Linked DNA regions of Nothobranchius furzeri. The protein of the gene in region 1 binds, or shares a complex with, the protein of each later gene. Links are inferred from orthologs where the notes say so. Each region holds a gene or a part of one and is shown on either strand. Other genes may lie near its edges. The genes, in order: ercc3 and polr2l.

Region 1 (10,953 bases):
GCATTGAAGCAGTCATATCTTCAAAAGGATTCCCAACCAAGTATTGGGTGTATAACTGAACAAAATTATTTGAAGGTTGACTTTTTTTTGTACTGAAAACACTTTTTTTTAGTGGTCGGATGAAATGCAAATTTTTTTGAGATAGGAATTTTGGGTTTTCATGAGCTGTATGCCAAAATCATCAATATTAGAAACAAAGGGCTTGAACTACTTTGGTTGTGCGTAATTAATCTAATATATATGAGTCTGTTTCATCAGTACATTACAGAAAATAATGAACTTTATCACAATATGCAATTTTTTTTACAAGGACCTGTATATAGACATTATTTATACATACTTGCATATTCTGAGTTTCCCTACTTCTCCTCTGCCAGTTGCTTTTGCCCATTGCTGAGAGAGGTATTTTGGCACCTGTATGCAGAAACATGAATGCTACTTCTCACTTTAATAAAAGGTACATCAAACCATTCTTGTAGCAAAATATGGAAAATTCGTTGTATCAAAACTATTTAGGAAATATAAAAGTAGAGTGGAACAATCCTTTATTCAAACTGTAGTGACACAACTTCCACAAGAAGAAACCCAGATGCTGCTGCGAACCTGTCACGTAGCTTTAGCTAACAGCCAAACGACTACTCTCTATAAAGGCGTTAATTTGCAAGTGAACACAATCCTAAATCTAACACAGCTGTCATGCGTGAATAGTTTTCCTGAGATTATCTTCGAATGTTTCAACTTAATCACGAAGCACAACTTAACTCGGTTAACTACGAAAAACCACGAACAACTTCATTTCAGTTTTGCTAAGCTAGGAAACGTTTAGCCTCTTTTAAATGAAGCGGTCAAACGTAAAGCTCAGTAACTAATGCATATCGGAATGAATATAAACACACCTTAACAAGCCACACACCAGTATTTTGCTTTGCTCCAGTTAAGTCTACCTCTCCTTTTTCTGACATGTTTCAAAACGATGCTAAAGTAAACTGCATCAATCACTAAGCGCATGCGCGCACAAAACAGGTAGCTAGCTACGGCAAGTCGGATGGTTAGACACATTTTTATAAATAATCGTTTACATTTACTTGTTTACTTTAAAACCAAAACCCACACAGAAAAACAATTTGAGATATTTTTTTAGCTCAAGCTATAAAGAAGTGCTACTTGCCTATGAGAAGCCTGCAAAAAAAAAATAAATAAATAAATGACAGCACATTTCATAGCAATTTGTTTATAATTTGCTGGTACTGTTTTTGTAATTTTAATGTTTATTTTACTTATTGGGGTATCATTCGGGTTCTGAACAGCAGAGGCAAAAATAATGCAATAAGTCTGTCAAAGAAAGTCTAGTTTTAGCCAGTTTGGGGTTAATAAGTAGGATATATTATTTGCATGGCAAGAAGTTGGTCTAGTTCACTATAGGCTAGATTCCAAACACCAACAGCATTTGGAAAAGAATATAAGAGTAGTTGCTGCCCTCCAGTGTCTAAAAAGCCAGAACTACACTCGGTCGGTATATATATATATGACATTACTGACTTTAACACATACTCATTTATACATTCAGTGCCTAAGCATTAGAGTACAGGGCACAGAGATCATCTACATTCATTCCACAGTCATATATTTGCATAATTAAACTTTATTCTAAGAAATTCACTGGATGGATATATCCCATTCATAGAAGAAACTATTTTAACTTCCTTGTCCTATCCAAGCTTTAAAAAATCCTAATCTCTCTTTTTGTCCTCTTGGGAATATTGATATTAAAGAGGAGAAGAAGGAACTGGATTTCTCTAAATTCTTCCAAACTGTTTTGTTGCCTTGTAAGAACGGGCAATGTGCGGCCTCTGCTGGCAAGAAATAAAACAACACTCTGGAGTCCAACAGCATTTAGAAAATAATGTAAGATGGAGAGTTGCTGCCCTCCAGTAAGTAAGTAAGTAAAAGTTTATTTATATAGCGCCTTTCACAGATATAAATCACAAAGCGCTGTACAACATGATAAAGATCAGGGCAAATACCTCTAACCAATAAAAACATCAGAAAAACAATAGCAGTGATAAAGTAGAAAATTAAATCATGAGTATAAACAAAGTGAAAGTGTGAACCCGAACAAAGCCATCATTCTGAAACATTTAGGGAGGGAACGCCTGGATGAAAAGGTGAGTTTTTAGATGATTTTTAACCACTTCATCACAGCTTAGAGGTTACATTACTACATAGTATTCAGTAGTATGGTTATGTTTTTATGGACAGGCTGGTTTAAGACAAATAATGTTTTAACTTACATTCGGAACATTATAAAATCTGTTGTAGATGATAGGGTGACAAGAGGTCAGGTTAAAAATTTTGAAGGTGATCCTGCAAATAAAAAGACAAACTAATAATAATAAAATTTAAAAAAAAAAAAGACAAAATCACCACACTTTAAAAAAATGACATGAATGACAGTAAGCAGAACAGTTGTCACCATATTGGTGTGGTGGAGATGTATGTCCAATCTAATCTCAACAACAAAAAAGATTATGCGGTTTACAAAAACTTAGCAAGTATTTTAATGAGAAGTTTAATGAGAAATTAAAATCAATAGTACAACATAATAGTATAACAAAGAAACATTTGCAGTTTTACAAGCAAACACACAACTTACACAATGCTAAGAATGGGTGCAGGCAGAAGCATAAGCTTATAAGTATTTTAATGATTTGAACAGCTTTCTAAAATTTGAATTCCAATAAAAACAAATGAACTACCTTGTAGAATACAGTCATTATACAAATGTACAAATTCTAAGAAATTCACATGTTTGTATTCAATCCATTCTAGTTTACAACCAGTCCACGTTGTATAAACTTTTTAACTTAAGTAAAACCAGTGAACCTGCTAATGACAGCATTTTTCGGATGCTTTGGGGTTACAAGAACATTCGGTCCTTGCTGTGGGAGAACCGTGTGTTCAGTTCCTGAGATTTCTTCAGCAGCCGCTGCTTTTGAGCCTCATCAAATCGATTAACCTGCAAGTCCTCATCACGATCAAATGGCCTCCTTTCCACTGGGTTGTCAGCTTTCTCCTTTGCCTTTTCCTTAATCTTCTTTGCATGCATACTCATCAGGGACTCTGCCCGTTTAGACTCCTGAAACCAGACAGGAAGGCACCTTCAGTCATGACTTTGATGGGGACCTTTCAGGTTAATAAGGTGCAGACTTACATTATATTTAGATACTTTCTCTGCCATTTCCAAGTCCTTCTGAGTAACTTGTGGTGCGTTATCTTTCTTTGTCTCACTTGTCTTTTTTCCTTCAAGTCGTTCCTATTAAAGAAACAAACATTGATACTGAGGAATAATATACATTAACTAATATGTTGAACACTGTAAGCGGTGGGTGATTTTTTTAGGTACCCTAGCCTTGCGCTCTCTGTCTGCTGGTGTATCCGTCCAAATGGAGCGATCCTTGTTCTCTGGACCTGACCTTTTCTTGAAAGTACGAGCACCCAAACCAATGTGCTGCAGTTCTGGTGGGAGCTCTGTCATCCACGTTTCTCTAGTTACCACCTCTGGAACATCCTAATTACGCAGAGGACAAACAAGAACACATTAAGACACAAAGAAGAAACAGCCCCCTTTTATAATTTAATTATTATGAGGAGAAAAATGTTAGAGAAAAATTACCACTCTTGTTAGCTTATCTTTCATCCTTCGTGCCCTGCACTCAAAATCATGAGCAACAGAATCTTGAATCGGTCCTTTAGCAGGCATGGGTCCAATCACGTCCTCCTCCTCTCCCTCGCTGCTGGAGGGTTCGGGACAGTAGCCCCGAGGAAGGGCAGGTCCTGGAACAATTTCTTCCTCATCATCATCATCACTGTCATATTCAGTCCTGCAGAACCCAGGAGGCAGAGCTGGCCCCAACACAGGTGCCCTGAGAAAATACCATCACAAACAAATGTCACACTGTTATCCTAAACAGGAAGTGTCCTTACACGTGCTATTTATGTTACTAGAGAATATTGATGTTTCTGCTCACCTTTCTGGTGAATGTTGCTTTTTATATCCTGGAGGCAGAGCTGGTCCAAAGAACCCATCATCATCCCTGTTCAGAAACACATGTTAGTCAAGTTCGTTCTATTTCTTTTAACTAACAAATGAGACCAGAACCAGAACTCACTCTGCAGCTCTCCCAGTCTTGGCTCGCTTAGCTGCCACCTCTGGTTCACTTTCATCTGAGGAGCTAGACTGTTCACCCCGTTTATACCCAGGAGGTAAAGCAGGACCAGCAACTAGACGGCGACATAAATAAAACTGTTAGCTAAAAGTGAACAGAGCAACCCGAAAAGATCAATTGCCACAACACGTTAGCTTCTAACAAAACGTATCTTACAATCTTTTTCGTCAACGTCGTCCTCAGAGCTCTCATTTCCAAATATCGGAGGCAAAGCAGGTCCTATAATTTTATCAGAGGACATCTTTGCTAACAATTTCGTTACGTATTTTCAGGGGATATTAAACAAAACCTGTATTTACTCTATGGCTTTTAACCTAGGAAGTAAACAATAGAGCAGCAGCGGAAGTCTTCAAAGTGTTCTGCCAAAACAAATGCACCTGCTATTGTGATTTATTTTTAATTAAGATTTTAATAAACACATTTTTGAATAAGTAGTTTTAAAGCTTCGTAAATTGTATTAAACTATCGTAAATATAAGTAATAATCAACTGTACACTGTCTCTGTGGCAAAAACGGAAATATAAAAACTTTTATTTTGAAAGTTTTTGAACGGAAACGCTTGTTATTCAGAGCTCCACTTTAGTGCACAGTCTAGACATCGTTTATTCCTTCATATCATTTAAAGACACGTATTGTGTGTTTACCTAAATACATTTGGGACTATTTTTAAGACTTTACCCATGTAAACCTTTCAAAATGGGTAAAAAAGATAAAGGAGATCGAGGTAAGTTGGTAACGTTTCATTTTAATCTGCGTGGAGCTAGTCACCGAACGCTAACCTGCAATATACTAGCGCAAATACGTCTGAGCAAAATGTAGTTTTGATTCCATGGCATCTTAACATAACTACTGATTTTTAAAATGTTTTAGTAATGTTAATGATTGTTTTGTGGATCTGCTATAGAGAAGAAGTTCAAAAGACGCTACTATGAGGAAGATGACGATGAAGAGGTGACAGTCGGGGAGTCTCAGGAAGCTGTACCTGCTGCTGCAGGGAAGCAGGTGGATGAATCTGGCACAAAACTGGATGAATATGGAGCCAAAGACTACCGCGCACAGATGCAGTTGAAGAATGACCACAACTCCCGTCCTCTCTGGGTGGTATGATGCGTCATTGCTGCTTATAGTCACAGCTGTACCTCAGTAATCTCTTAGAGGTGAAATCTTGTTCTCACTTCTCTACAGGCTCCAGATGGACACATCTTTCTGGAAGCGTTCTCACCAGTATATAAGTATGCCCAGGATTTCTTAGTGGCTATTGCAGAGCCAGTGTGCAGGCCTAACCACATCCATGAGTACAAGCTGACTGCATACTCCTTATATGCAGCAGTCAGTGTGGGGCTGCAGACCACTGATATTATAGAGTACCTGCAGAAGCTCAGTAAAACATCTGTACCTGATGGAATCATCAAGTTCATTGAGGTCAGAGATAGACAGGATGTGATCCTATAGTAACAGTTTATTTTTTTGCTCATCTGTTGTATTTTTCTGCCTCTTTCAGCTTTGCACTGTGAGCTATGGGAAAGTTAAGCTTGTGCTCAAACACAATAGGTAAAGGTCTTTCGTCTCTCTCTGCAAAAACATTTATTTCTTCAGCGGTTTTATTCACTTGTGTTTTCCCTCTTCTAGGTATTTTGTAGAGAGCACCTTCCCTGATGTGATTCAGCGTCTCCTGCAGGATAACGTGATCCGTGAATGTCGTCTTCGCTCTGCAGATGGAGCAGACCCTGAGCTTATTACTGAAGTTGTCCACAGCAAATCAGCAGTATGTCATACTCCTTAAGGATCTGGATGTTGTGGGGATTTGTTGGTTGACGCAGCTCTGTAATATCTCGTGGACTTCGGGAGCAGTTCCACTGGATTCACAGACTGGGGTGGTGGTCCCCCTGTTTAAAAAGGGGGACCGCAGGGCGTTTTCCAACTACAGGGTGATCACACTCATGAGCCTCCCTGGTAAGGTCTATTTCAGGGGTTCTGGAAAGGAGGGTCCGGTGGATTGTCGAACCTCAGATTCAGGATAAGCAATGTGGTTTTTGTCCTGGCCGTGGAACACTGGACCAGTTCTTTAGGGAGGTTCTGGAGGGTGCGCAGGAATTCGCCCAACCAGTCTACCAAACCAGTGCTTTGTGAATGTGAATTTGGTGAAGGCTTTTGATTTTGTCCCTCAGGGGGCCCTGTGGGGGGTACTTTGGGAGTATGGGTACCAGGCCTTGTGATACAGGCTGTCAGGTCCCTGTATGACTGGTGTCAGAGCTTGGTCCACATTGCAGACAGAGATGGGCCATTCCCATCTGTACCGGGTTGGCCCGGGCCGGGTAGCGTAGGTTGTTTACATATCTGGGTGGCCTGGTATTTTTCCGGGCCAACCAAGGCTCATTCTCAGCCCTCTTCTCGAGGGGGTCTGCTTCAGGCCGACCAGGGCCAACACACCCACTGCTGACAGCAAATTCACACCTTCCATTAGAGCAAGCCTCTGATTGGTGGGTAGAATCAGCCCACATGGGCTTAAGACAAGGATGTTTGAAATCAACCGGGCCAGGCTGGGACCAACTGGGGCTACCCGGCCCGGGCCGACCCGATACAGATGGGAATAGCCCATAAGTTTGATCGTTTCCGGTGAGAGTTGGGCACCACCAAGGCTGCCCTTTGTCAGCGATTCTGCTCATAACTTTTATGAACAGGATTTGTAGGTGTAGCCAAGGTTATAAGGGAATCCATTTTGGTGTTCTAAGGATCAGATATCTGCTTTTTGCAGTTGATGTTGTCCTGTTGGCTTCATCAGAACGTGATCTCCAGCTCCTGGATGCCTCCCTGGTGAGGTTTTCCGGGCATGTCCAACTAGGAGGAGACCTGAAGGAAGACCCAGGACATGCTTGAGGGACTATGTCTCTCAGTTTGCCAGGGAATGCCATGGGATTCCCCTGGAGGAGCTGGCCCAAGTGGCTGGGGAGAGGGAAGTCTGAACCTCCCTGCTTAGGCTGCTGCCTCCGTGACATGACCCTGGATACGCAAAAGAAAATGGATGGATGATATTTGAATTTACAGGGGTTTGCAGAAGTTCAAAATAGAACTGAATGAAAATGTCACTGTGTTGAATGTTTTATTCTAGAGATGTATTTAGGAAATAATTAGTGTATAAAATGAAACATTTGGTAGATTTTTGGGAAACGTCTCCCATTTTCTTAAACTAAACCCCCGTTACGTAAAAAGTGTAAAATATTTATTTTTCCTATTACATTTCTCTTTTTTGGCCAGATTTCTAAGTTTGTTCAAGAAAAAGGAGACCCATCCACCTCACAGCAGCCTGTTGATGGACAGACCTCAAACCAGCAGGTCCCTGAGGACATCTTCAGCTACTATGAACAGATGGATAAGGATGAAGAGGAGGAGGAGGAGACTCAGACAGTGTCCTTTGAAGTTCGACAGGTACCACATTTATTGTTTTTTTACAGAAATAATAGGAAGACCATCAACACCCTGTGCTTCATCTGCTGCAGGAGATGATTGAAGAGCTACAGAAGCGTTGTATCCAGCTGGAGTACCCCCTCCTAGCGGAGTATGACTTCCGAAATGACACAGTTAACCCAGACATCAACATAGACCTGAAGCCCACTGCCGTGCTGCGGCCCTACCAGGAGAAGAGTCTGCGCAAGATGTTTGGAAACGGGCGAGCCCGATCAGGAGTCATTGTGCTACCCTGTGGTAGGAAAGCTAGTCCAGAGCTGCCAGGAGAATACAAAACGTTTATTGATAAAATGCAGACTATAAGTTAGAACAGCAAGAAAACAAATGACTGATTTCTTGTTTCTGATTTGAAGGTGCTGGGAAGTCTCTGGTTGGCGTGACAGCGGCGTGCACCGTGCGTAAGCGCTGCCTGGTGCTGGGTAACTCGTCTGTATCTGTGGAGCAGTGGAAGGCCCAGTTCAAGATGTGGTCCACCATCGACGACTCTCAGATCTGCCGCTTCACCTCCGACGCCAAGGACAAGCCCATTGGCTGCTCGGTGGCCATCAGCACCTACTCTATGCTGGGTCACACCACCAAGCGATCATGGGAGGCTGAAAAGGTCATGGAGTGGATGCGGGGCCAGGAGTGGGGGCTTATGATCCTGGATGAGGTGCACACCATCCCTGGTGAGCTCTCGGCAAAATCCAGATAATAAAACCGTTTATTTTTTTATTTTGAATGCAATGGGACGTGGACCTTGTGTTTAATGTGAATTAATAATGTTATTTTTGTCTGCAGCAAAAATGTTCCGACGTGTTCTGACCATTGTCCAGGCCCACTGCAAACTGGGCCTTACTGCCACACTGGTCAGGGAAGATGACAAGATTGTGGACCTCAACTTCCTCATTGGGCCCAAGCTGTATGAAGCCAACTGGATGGAGCTGCAGAACAATGGTTATATTGCCAAAGTTCAGTGTGCAGAGGTAGGTCCTGTAACACTAGAACATAAATGGAAGATTTTAGGAGTAAAACTGGTATTCTTTTAAAACATTAAGCTAGTCACCAGAGCTTTGATGTGCAGTAATTAAACAGTGAGCCGATAAACCAAAATGAGATTCAAGAACACCTCAATAAACTTTCAGATCATTATGATTAGAGGTTCTTTAAATATCTGCTGCATCCTAGACTGGAAATTTCTTGGCAATTCTGCTAAAACAAGTGTGTGTAATGCAAATGTTTTAACAGGTTTTAAAACTATTGTTTACGGGAATTTGGAGTTGTTTTAATATGACAACATGCTTTGGATGTGGGTCTATTTTGAACCATATTTACAAGCTAAAACTTTTCCAAACCTCAAGGTTCAAGGGCATAGCAATCGTAAGAGTTGAAGATTGAAGAATCATTTTTATTTGAGAATCATTTTAGATGAGAGGTGAAGTTTCACCAAGATACAAGAAAATAAATATAGCTGTCCTTTTGTTTGGGCATTCTCTAAAGATCCGAGGGCTCTAGTGGACGATCAAAGAGATTATACTGATATTTGAATAGATGACTAGATACGGCAGCACTGAAAGGATTAACTTGTTTAAAATCAAGACTAAGGCTTTGACAGCAGCTACTGTGTGTCCTGTTGGGTTTAGTAGATATACTTAAGTTTTGATTATCTGGTTTTTACTTCTGAAAGTTTGTACAGCGCTGATTAAGTGGATCCCTGTGTGTGTGTGTGTGTGTGTGTGTGTGTGTGTGTTTCAGGTGTGGTGCCCCATGTCTCCAGAGTTTTACAGAGAGTATGTGGCCATTAAAACAAAAAAGCGCATTCTGCTTTACACAATGAACCCCAACAAGTTCCGGGCTTGCCAGTTCCTCATTCGCTTCCACGAGCGGCGCAACGACAAGATCATCGTCTTTGCCGACAACGTGTTTGCCTTGAAGGAGTACGCCGTTCGGCTCAACAAGTGAGCTTTCAGCGACAGAAGTTTTTCAAATTGTTGCATTAAGTATTCCTGAAATTTTTAATGATACCTTTTGTTGTTTTATGCAAGGCCTTACATCTATGGCCCCACCTCTCAGGGAGAGCGTATGCAGATTTTGCAGAATTTCAAACACAACCCAAAGATCAACACCATATTCATCTCCAAGGTGAAGTGTTCACCCGTCTCTCGCACACACACACTCGCACTTTTCGTTCCAAGTGCGAAGGAGGGGTGCCCTTTGATCCTTAAGAATTTTCTTGAAGCTTTATCTCGTCCGGGAACATCTTCTCTAACACCCTAACAAGCCTAGCCATCATTTAATTTACACTAATTGTCCCACCTTCAAAATAGATTTTAATGTATTTAGTGCTTAATGCTTATACAGTGATTTGTTCTGCACTAAAGCTTTGATGTTTGTTCGTACTTGCAGGTAACCTTGGGTTTAGATTTGTCCAAAGTAACAATACTGTTGATGAAAATGTATTATGTATATTAAATACGATTTATTTATTCAGAAAATTAACAAGGCCAGTAATTACTTAAGTAATGTTAGTTGTTCTCTGTGTAATTTGCATTTAAAAATCAATTCTTTGGTAAAAAAAAAACCAAGTCAACTCTTTTTTTTTGTTGTAGTATCAGAATTTCATATTTTTATGAAATAATTCAGAGAAATAACTTATTTTTCCCTCTCTTTAAATGTAAAGGTAAAGAGTAAAACTACAATTGGAAATGAAATAGTTGATTTCTATTATTAACATTTTTATTTTATAAGATTAGATTGCAACTTCAGGGCTGTAATTATGAGTTATCCTGGATTCTCCTTCAATTTTCATTTGGTAAGCCAGATAGGTCAAATTAAAAATTAAACATAAAGCATGCTAACTTGCTTTTGTAGCAGATCACAACGTTTTCATGAAATCAGATGTTTTTGCACAAAATAACAAAACATTCTAAAATAACACGGGTAAAAATGTAGGTCTTTACATTTGTGGCTACATGTGAAAATCAGTCAAGCAGCAGAGTAAAACTAACAGACTTCTGTGTTGTTGTTTAATGTGTGTGTTTTTTTTAATGTTTTCAAAGGAAGTGGAGACCAGAGGTGGAAATTACTAAAATTTCCTACTTAAGTACGAGTTCCAACACTTTGATAATTCTTTAGTACAAGTAACAGTATTAGCCAAAATTTGTACTCAACCAATAGTAAAAAGTATTGTAATTAAAATGTACGCAAAGTAAAGGTTACTTTTTTGTCAGAATAAGGACCTAAGTGCAAAATCATAACACTAGCGCACAACTCGCTTGCATGC
Region 2 (9,941 bases), about 22 Mb from region 1:
ATAAAAGAAACATGCTTAAGCCACCAGAAATAAATATTAAACATTATTGGTTAATTTGTGTATCTGTAAATATTCGCACAACTCCCAAATAAATTAACTTAATGTGAATTTAAGCCTAGGACCCAAAAAGTGGATTGTTGTTCTCTACCGGGGAATTACTTCCTACGCACTGAGTGAAAAAACAAGGAGCGTTAGCTTATCAGGTAGCCAACATGCGAGATAAATAGTTTGGTTATGTGTTAATTTATCGGTAAAGACTACTGCCTAATTGAATTAGTAGTTCGTTAAATTTATTGTTTTTTTGGTGTTTTGTTTTAGCTAAAGATTTAGCTTTTTTTTTAGTAGTTGCGGACCTGAGCGAAGCGAGGACGGTTAGCGTGAAAACTGACGTTAACGTATATAATTTTAGAAAAATCGGGGCAGTGTTTGTTGTGCATCATAAATGTGCACAGTGCTGTTGTGCAAACTGAACAGGTAAAATAAGCGAAGCAACTAAAACGCTTCCGTGCCTGCAGTTGGCATCTGAGGCCCACACGATGGCTGCTGCACAACCTGCAGCCGAACCGAGTTCCTCCAAAAACGACATCGATATATACAGCGACTTGCATGCGAACGATGAGGTGAGCCTAACGGGAAAGCTTATTTAATCTGTATCAAATGTTAAAGTTAATCGTTGTACATTTTAAGTTCATTGCTTACAATTTTATGTGAGTTGTATTATGCAAAAAATTAAGATAATTTTAAAATCAAAATCAGAGATGTAATAAAATAAGTGGAAAATATAAATTAAAAGCGTTTCTTGTTCAAAAATGTCAACATTATTGTTAATTTTTTCTCACCCAGGATTTGGAAGCAAACGACCTTTTTGATGCTGTTCTTACTGGAACGGTTGATCAAGACAAAAAGACGATCACTAAGGAAGCTTCGGCTAAAAAAGAGGATAAACCAAAAGATGGGAATGCACATAAAGGAAGAGACTCTTCAGTGAGACTCTCTTTATACATTGGGAATTTCTCTTGGGTAAGCAGTACAACCCAGTTAGTGTTATTGTAGGAAATCTGCAAAAGCTGTTTTTTTCTTTTGTTATATATATATCATCTCCACATACATAATTATGTTGCAGTGCCTCTTGAGTTGCCTTTTACTGTAATTATTTCTTGTCAAACTTTGTCTTTTTATCCATAGACATGTTCCCTCCCCTAAAATATGCTTCTACTTACAGTGGACATCTGATGAAGACCTTTTAAATATAGCCAAAAGACTGGGTGTAAAGGACGTCGAAGAGATCAAATTTGCTGAAAACAAAGTTAACGGCCTGTCAAGGGGGTAAATATATTTAAAAATACCACTAAATACTTTTGCTTTGGATTCATAATTATGTATTCCACATCTCTTTGTGTTCCAGCTATGCAGAAGTGGTGGTGTTGTCTGAAAATTCCTTTAAAATATTATTGGAAAAAATACCACAATGCCATATCAATGGGGAGAAATTAGTGTGCCGTTATGCCACTCTCCAGAATCTTTCTGTATTTGAGGATATCGCAAATAAACGTAAGATATGGCTATAATTCATTATATCACAAAATTTATTGACTGACTTTCTTTAAAAAAAACCTTTTTACTCATTCACAGGTATGCCCGTACAAGCTAGTTCCGATTCTAAAGAATCTATTTCCACACAAAAGACTTCCACACCAGTATCATCACAGCAGCCCAGGAACCCTCCTGGACCTCCACCTTTCCCACCACCTTCATTTCCACCTAGTTTTCCTCCATCGCCCAGTCCTTTCCTCCTTCAGCCACCCCCTCTGTTCCCAAACATGCCACCTGTAATGTCGCCACTCATTCCACCTCCTTTGTTCTCGCTGCATCCTGCTCAGACAACTGGCCAACCACCTTCTGGTTTTCACATGAGTCCTCCTTTCTTCAGCCAGACACAGGAAAGACCGAGCAGACCGTTATACAGCCAACCAGCGTAAGAGCACGTTTTGTGTTATCAACGCCATACGATCTAGGACTCTGGAAGGTGCCGTATGAAATACAGGCCATTTACTGTAAGAAATAAAAAAAAAGACTTCTTCACAGTGCGATTGTCCAAAAGCCTATGGAATGTTGTTGGAAAAAGGAGAAAAATAAAGTTGTTGCTTGCTATTACCCTAGTGAACTAGACCAAATTCTTGCTTTGCAAAGTTTGAATAGTTAAAAGTTAAATAATGTATTTATTTAGTCTGGCTTGCCGGGCTTGTTTGCTAACATTATTCTGTTTTTGGTCCAGAAAACTCTCTCAAAGCAAAGACGATTTTGAAGAACTAATGAGCAGAAACCAGACCATTGCCAGCAGTGCAATCACCAAGGCCATATCTGGGGCAACAGCTGGTGAGTACAAATGATCAGGTGCTGTAATTAAAGTACCCAGAACCTCATAAACCACACGGGGAAAGGATTATTCCTTACAGTTTTGGTTTCCCCAATACCTGTGTCGTCACGGAGAAGGCATCTTGTAGGATGTCGAAACTTTCAGGTAAAAAAAAAAACCTTTTCATCTAAGATACTTGCCCAAGAAGAAACAGATATTTTATTAGTTTTACCAATGTGTAATGAATTTCATACTAATTTAAAAAATGTACTTTTTGTTTTACATTTTTAAATAATTTACGATTGTTTTATTGGCGGCTAGTGATTTAAATTTTAAGAGTTCTGTTGTAATTAAAAGCAAAAACATCCCAGTAAGCATACTTTCATATTGTGCAATTGCAATCAAATATAAGAAGGTAAAAAAAAAAAATTGTACATTTGTACTTTAAGATGGACCTCTAAAAAGTTCTTAAGGGTCAACTTTATTCATGTTTTTTAATACATTTGCAGTGGTTTCTAGTAGGAATGAATGCCTTGTAGTTCGTACTCTGGGGGACAAGAAGCTCCGGTGCGCCTGTTTGAGGACGTAGATGCCAGCTGGAGGAGAACGTAGCTTCAGACGGCAGGATTTAGAGTTTTATTTCCTGATATTTGGATATCTTGCCTTGGATTGGCTAACTGCAACATGACTCTACCACTGACTACATTTGCTTTGCAACGTTGATTTATCTCCACAAATGACACAAGTCTGAAGGAGTTCTGCTGTTGTGGAGTTGCTAATGCTAATCATTAGCATCTACTAGTCGAGACGTTCACTGCCGTTTCCTGGACGGTAAACCAACAACAGATTTCCCCGTCGCGAGTCAAGATGGGTGAGTCCATGAATGTTAAGTGACAGTGTGACTAGATCTGTCAGGCTTTTCTGAACCGAGTGTGTTTCCGTCTAGTGTCTATCAAAAGCTAATGAAGGAAATAGGGGTAGAAGACTGTTTTCATGGTTAAACTCAGTCATTGATCATTTTCAAAAATAAGTTAAAAAAATTTGTTTCCCACTGAACCTGCTTTTTAAAAGACGATCTTATTTCCTGAATTTCTAATGCAGGAGAGCAGCAGATGGCCATGGAGACACTATTAACGGCGATTGCCATCATAAAGCAGTCTAAAGTGCACGGGGATGAACGCTGCCGAGCTTTGGTCACCTCACTCAAAGACTGTTTAGTCTCGATCCAAAGCAACTGTGAAACCAGGTTTGTATATTTAGGAAACTTGGTTTGAGTGCTTGTCTTTCTTAGAGGGTTAAGCTTTTTTCTAATTAAAGATTTTCTTTTTAGCAGGCGTTCAAGAGAGAAAGACAGAGACCGGGACAGAGGTCGTGAAAGAGACCACGACCGCGACAGAGATCGTGACAGAGAGCGATACCGAGATCGTGACCGAAGTGACTCTTACAGCAGGGAAGGTGCGGGAACGTCTCGAAGACATAGAGAACATTCCTGGAGTGGAGACAGGGACAAAGAGCGCTTACGAGAGCGAGAAAGACATCGAGATTACAAAGACCGATACTACTAACCTGGTAAGATAAACAGACTTAACTACAAAAGTTATATATGCTAAAAATTACATTGAGTCAGGGGAGCATTTCTTCCTTTATAAACATTTTAAATGAGCAGTTATTTGTATTCTAATCTTCACTGTAGGTCAGACACAATATCAGGATAATATACAGCTCTTTAACGTCTGAATTTAATATGAATGCATTAACTGAAATCACGAAAGATTGGCATCCCTTTATTTTTTTTACTCTGACTTTGTTCTGGTTTTGTTCCCTTTTCTCCCCAGACTGAAGAATCCTGCCGGGGAAAGATGAGCATTTTCTTGCACCAAGGTTGATAAATGTCAAAACTCTTTGAAGCTGAGACATTGGATGTTTGAAAGTATGAAACCTACTTTTTATCAGTTATATTCACCATGTCTGATTTGTTTTAAGAAAAAGTTGTGTAGATTCATTCTTGTATTATAGAATTTCAACATGCATGTAGTGAACACCTGTTAATAACTTGTTTTCATTCTTTTTTTTGTATAAATTCTACAAATAAAAAAAAATCCTCCAGTGTTTTGTTATAACTAACTACACAAAGCTGTAAAATTATGTCACATTGACAGGAAATAGACATTTAATCATTCATCAATTTTTCCAATCTCATGAAATGAACTATGCGATTAAAACCATTAATTTCCAAAGCTAAGATCTGAAGAGCTAGTCGTTGCCAACCACATAAAATGTAGACGCATGGACGAAAGAAAGCAAGGTTATTCATTTTATTTTAAAAAATCCAGTAATTGAAAAATGTTTCCATAAATTCTTCTCTGTGGTCGTAATTTAAGGTTACATAGTACACACATTCACCCTGATAATGGTGCTACAAAGTCCACAACATTCATTTTTCCAACGGAGCATAATTCAGCAATTTCTCAATAAGATCCACATGAGAAAGAAGCATCCTTCGACAGCAGTACCTCTTCAAGCCAAGAGCGTCAAGAGCATCACTAGGGAGGGAGATGGCAAAAATCAGTCCTGATATGTTACATAAACACGTTTTAATCACTGCTGAAAACCATAAGGAAAGGTGAAAGGCATTGTGGTTTAAAAACAAATCTAAACCCAATCTTCTTTTTAAATGTTATTTAGCTTGCCTGCATTGTGACCAAATGTTGAAATGTTCTACCTTTGTAGAAAAGCTACTCAAACACGTGCCAGAACAATTTCGGACGTAAAAAGATCATGAAACGTGAAGCTAGACGTGGTTGTTTCTCACCCCTCTGTGTATTCCGCTTGCAACAGACCGAGGTACGCTTCCCATTTGTTCCCCACAATCTTCCCACAAGTGAAGCACCTCACAGGGATTATCATCGTTAAATACCTGCAACAAAAGTCAACCCGGTTAATGTTTGAAAACAATGTAAAACAATCACAGTTGAGTCGTTTAACTTAAATTACATTTACGTTTCCGCATACCACCGCAGTAAGACCACCATGTGAGCATGTTTTGCTAACGTTAATGCAGCAAAACCTAGCACTGCAACGATTAAAGCAAACACGTATTTAGTTTTTTTTTTCAGATGGATTAATCAATAGTCCAAAAACGAATTACTTAAAAAAGACGGTTGAAATCAAATCTTATGGTTAGTGCTGTATTCCGCTACGTAACTAGCCCACCAGCTAGCGTTAGCTGCTGTTGAAATTATTCCGCTAAACGAACTTACACACGTCATTAGTTTATCACGTTTTACCATATGTTTCACCTTTTGAGGCTGTAGATCAGATGAATGTACTATTTTCTTGGTAAAAGTAACTCCAGCACGATAATGATGGCGTTCTCTCACTCCTTATGTCGTTAAAACAACTTCCGGGTAAAATCCGCCAAAATAAAAGCGGAATAAGAGGTGAGCGTTTCCTGTGATTTGCAAAATTGACCCCCCCCCCCCCCCAAAAAAAAAAAAACGAAAATGGGGAAACTGACACGGAAAACGTGTGAGCGTCTTCGTCTATTTGGTTTTAATAAATGTGGTGCAAAAGTGAAATAACAATTCATTAGAATCACAATATTGCTACTGAATAATGACCACAGCTCACTTCATAAACGAGCGTATAAAAATGGCAGTACTCCCCATCAAACTTAGCTAACATGTCAAGTCACTCACCTCACAATGTATTTTTCCTTTTACAAAACAAACAACTTTGAAGCAAAAGTATTAATATCCATGTAACCACAGATAAAGGAGTTTAAAAACTCTAACATTTTCCTTGATATAACTAATAAATGCAATTGCAATTCAATATACCATCTTGACAGAATGTTAAGGAAAAGAGCTAAATTAGTTGATTAAAACTAATGTTTTTGAAGGTGGTACCATGCAAAAATAAAATCTTCATCCAATGCAGATAGTTACACAAATTAATATTAACATGAATCCACAAAAGAAATGCTCACTATAGGACTGGTTCACTGCCTTTAATAAGATTGAATTTCAGATTTGTCATATTTTACATTTAAATGATTGGACTCATAGAGGAGGGTGCATAAAGAAAATATTTAAAATATAAAACATACATATTATTTCCACCATAGTCATCTTTACAGTCAGCATGATAAATGTCATTATCATTACCATCAGTAACATTATACAGTAATACATCATCTATGTAATTTCATTTGCTACAGCACATATGCTAAATGAGGAATCCTACCTGAATTATTGCATTTATACGCTGTTGAAATTATGAAAATAGGAGTTTTCATATTCTTTTGTTTTTTAAGAGTACACTGTATTGTACAATGTAAGGTGAAATTTATTTTTGTGTTGACTTACTACTTTTTGAACATGTCAGAGGAGCTGTCTAGTGATGGTGATATGCTCTTATGAGTTTTTTAGGGGGTATAAAATATGGTGAAGCTATACATTCTGGTTGTCAAAACTACCTTTCTACCAAACAGAGACAACCGGATGAGTTTTACAGTTGCAAGCTGAAAGGCTAGTGAGCCACTGTACAGGTGTGTTTGTGCAGTAACAAATTCTTTTCCCCCTTTCAGTGAAGTATGAGTACTACTTTTATGCTATTATAAATGCTTTCATTACATATTTTTGGTGGGTGACTTTGAAAACACACAGAGTGGCATAAAAATTGACTCAATTCTAGTGGCTGACTGGCTGTGGGCTTTCAAACCCATATAGAGGTTAGAATAAACACGCAAACCAACTTCTTCTTTTGTCCCAGAACGTGTCATATTTCAGTGTTTAATAATGTTTTGGTTTATTTTAAACCCAATGAGTTTGTCTTTGTTACTCTTCACCAGAGGTCTGCAACCTTTACTATCCAAAGAGCTGTTTCCCACACTGTTACAGGGCTTTCAGAAAACAGACAATGAATTTTTGAGAAATGTCTAAAAATTAATCAGAATTCTGAGGTTGAAATCATGATTCTGACTTTTTTGTTTTTAGATTATAGTCACAACTCTTGTTTTATCTTCTATCAGTATCTTCTCTATGGGATTTGATTAAGTTTTTAAATTAGGAAAAATGAAATAAAACTTTTGCAAAAACTGTATGAATATCATTCTGTATATCAGGAAAGTTATAAAAATAGTGTAATTCTGTTGAGGAAATTGAATGCAATTGATTCTGTGAAAATACAGAACAGTAGCTTGAATCTGCATTATTATATTAATATATATTTTTTTAAATTAGTATTTTACCATTTTTAGAATACATTATTAAGAGCAATTGTGGAAGCTCCAAAGAGCCGTACTTGGCTCCAGAGCTGTAGATTGCAGACCCCTGCTCAATACAAAGGTTTACCATATTTTTTTGCCACCAACGTACAATGTAGATGTAACGAGTGACACCACAGAATCAACCCAGGAACACTGATTTATTCCTGAGTGACAGAACTGAATAAAAAGGTTTTTCTTTCCAGAATGACAAATGTCAGTTTGACACACTTGGAAAATGATGGAAAGTTGAGGAAATCTGCAAATTCTTGCCACAAATAGGCTCTAGTCCACATTATTAGTAGTGGCCTTGTTGATTACTGGGCCAGTATTAGCCCTGTGAAGGTCAGCTGTTGCCTGTACCCATGCTCATACTTATTCTCAATATATCTAATTCCACCTGTGCAGGTGTTTCTTTTAACAAAAGATCCATAATCCTTTGCTATGCATAAACGTGACTGTTCGTTCACCAACTCTTTCAAATATTCTATTTTAAAGTAAGAGAACTGTGATTGCTCAAAAACATCATGAACACAGTGGATATATAATTTTGAAATATTTACACAAAATTAACCAAGCTCATTCACTGTGTCGGAATGCACAAATATTGCAACCTCAGGTCAATATTTGCTCACGCTGGATTAAACTAAATAAAGCAGACAGTTGTGTTTAAAAGGTTTAGGCATCAAGCTGAGGAATAAGTCTTTTTATAATATTTTTAATTAATTTTACATTATGCTGTGCTGTTGAGACTTCATGCATGTATTATTAGTGTAATTATTCTCCATATACAGCCTTGGTAAAAACTTAAATGGGGTGATTCTCTACACGTGAGATCAGGTCAAAAACAAACAATAAATAAATAAAATATTGTCTTTCCAATCTCTTATCCAAACCATATAGTCAGCCGTTCTTCTAATTTGGTTTTAATTTCTCCTCGCCAGGAGCAACGCTCCCAGCAAGATGGCTCCTGCAGCAATAACAGCGCCACCGATGAGAAAAGGCTTCAGGTGCTCCAGAGAGTCTGTGCCAGAGGCCGCAGCGTCCTCACTTCCTGCTGCTGCTGCTGATTCAGCTGCTGTTCCTCCATCGTTGGAGGAGGGGGGGTTCTCAGGCTCAGGGGCTGCAGGGGCAGGGTCAGCCTTGCATGGTGCTGCTGGCTCCTTCTTCTCTGCTTTGGATGTTGCCTTGGGTGCTGAAGCCCCAGACTTGGCCTTAGCTTCCATGGACTCAGAGACACAGGTGCGGCGTGGTCAGGAGTTGTTATAAGGTCAGCTGCGTGCTGCTTCACTGAGGTGAAAAATAAATAAAAGCACAGAAGTAGACAGATTACCCTTCTAAATTAGACGCAGTCGTCATGTTATCTGCTCTGATGATTATAGACAGACTGAAACATGAATGAGGCCCTGATATCCATCTGTTTGCTCAGCCTTGAATCAGTGAAGCCATAAATGTGACCTTGGGAAAAGACGACATTGATGGGAGCTCTCCAAATGCTCACAGGGACATGAAAATATTTATTTTGGTCACAGCTGCTCTGACTTAACTGCTAGATGAAGTAGGATTTACATTTAAAGCAGCTTCCTGTGCTAAGCTATTTTATAGGACAATTGGGTAATTTAGTAATGGATGCTAGAGCTTCAATGCAAAAGAGATTTGAATCTCTATTTCTTTGACCTCGGGAAGAGCCTGGTCCAGATGCAAATACATAAAGATCTAATCTTGATGTTAAACTTAAGCGCATGCACCCACCATTAATATATCTCAATAATTAAATGTGCAAGAAATGGGCCGCAAGATGGAGGAGAGAGCAAGAGTGTGATGGATGAAATAAGCAAGAAAACAAATGAGGCTTAATTTAGTAGAGTGGATTTGTCCCAGTAGCCTGAATGTTACAAAATGTAGCCTGGATGCATTATTTACACAAATATATTATTTTAAATCATTCTCTAAACTAGGATGAAACATATGAACATTATTTACCTTTTCAACACCTATGCATAGATGAGAAGAATAACAGACGTGTAAAGGAGGCAGAGCTGTCTCTGGAAGTTGGAAATGTCCTCAGTATTAGAAAATGAGAGACAGCGGAGAGATGGAGGACGCTGAAAATAGGAGGGAGGGGAAGGAGAGCATGAGGAAGGGAGGCTGGGATGTACCATCTGGAACTTAAAATGGGGTACTATGTTCCATGATGGGTTTTTTTCTACAGCTTTAGGCAGCATTGATTCAGTGAGACAAAATCCACATTTCAGTTAGATTGTCTTTTATAAAACATACATATCTTTTATTTTATTTTTTAATTATTTTGGTTTGATG

The links.
Region 2: ercc3 (region 1) and polr2l share a complex: the UniProt entries of both Homo sapiens proteins name them as parts of the TBP-based Pol II pre-initiation complex. The link is inferred for Nothobranchius furzeri from reciprocal best matches to the Homo sapiens genes ERCC3 and POLR2L.

Annotation. Positions count from the first base shown.
Region 1 is NC_091749.1:40,318,206-40,329,158, reverse strand, and holds the start of ercc3 (general transcription and DNA repair factor IIH helicase/translocase subunit XPB), read left to right. Parts: upstream 1-4,779; 5' UTR 4,780-4,922; coding exon 4,923-4,950; intron 4,951-5,130; coding exon 5,131-5,327; intron 5,328-5,411; coding exon 5,412-5,648; intron 5,649-5,727; coding exon 5,728-5,777; intron 5,778-5,855; coding exon 5,856-5,991; intron 5,992-7,481; coding exon 7,482-7,652; intron 7,653-7,723; coding exon 7,724-7,928; intron 7,929-8,044; coding exon 8,045-8,359; intron 8,360-8,471; coding exon 8,472-8,656; intron 8,657-9,425; coding exon 9,426-9,628; intron 9,629-9,715; coding exon 9,716-9,812; intron 9,813-10,953. Other genes in the region: gtf2f2a (general transcription factor IIF subunit 2), read right to left, coding at 341-414, 897-962; gpalpp1 (GPALPP motifs-containing protein 1), read right to left, coding at 2,918-3,136, 3,212-3,313, 3,404-3,568, 3,674-3,923, 4,029-4,094, 4,170-4,281, 4,383-4,467. UniProt on the Homo sapiens protein: ATP-dependent 3'-5' DNA helicase/translocase. Binds dsDNA rather than ssDNA, unzipping it in a translocase rather than classical helicase activity. Component of the general transcription and DNA repair factor IIH (TFIIH) core complex.
Region 2 is NC_091749.1:62,788,103-62,798,043, reverse strand, and holds polr2l (DNA-directed RNA polymerases I, II, and III subunit RPABC5), read right to left. Parts: upstream 5,795-9,941; 5' UTR 5,656-5,794; intron 5,274-5,655; 5' UTR 5,264-5,273; coding exon 5,169-5,263; intron 4,900-5,168; coding exon 4,791-4,899; 3' UTR 4,658-4,790; downstream 1-4,657. Other genes in the region: cleavage and polyadenylation specificity factor subunit 7, read left to right, coding at 537-620, 844-1,020, 1,223-1,326, 1,406-1,551, 1,633-1,975, 2,276-2,376, 3,458-3,602, 3,687-3,921. UniProt on the Homo sapiens protein: DNA-dependent RNA polymerase catalyzes the transcription of DNA into RNA using the four ribonucleoside triphosphates as substrates.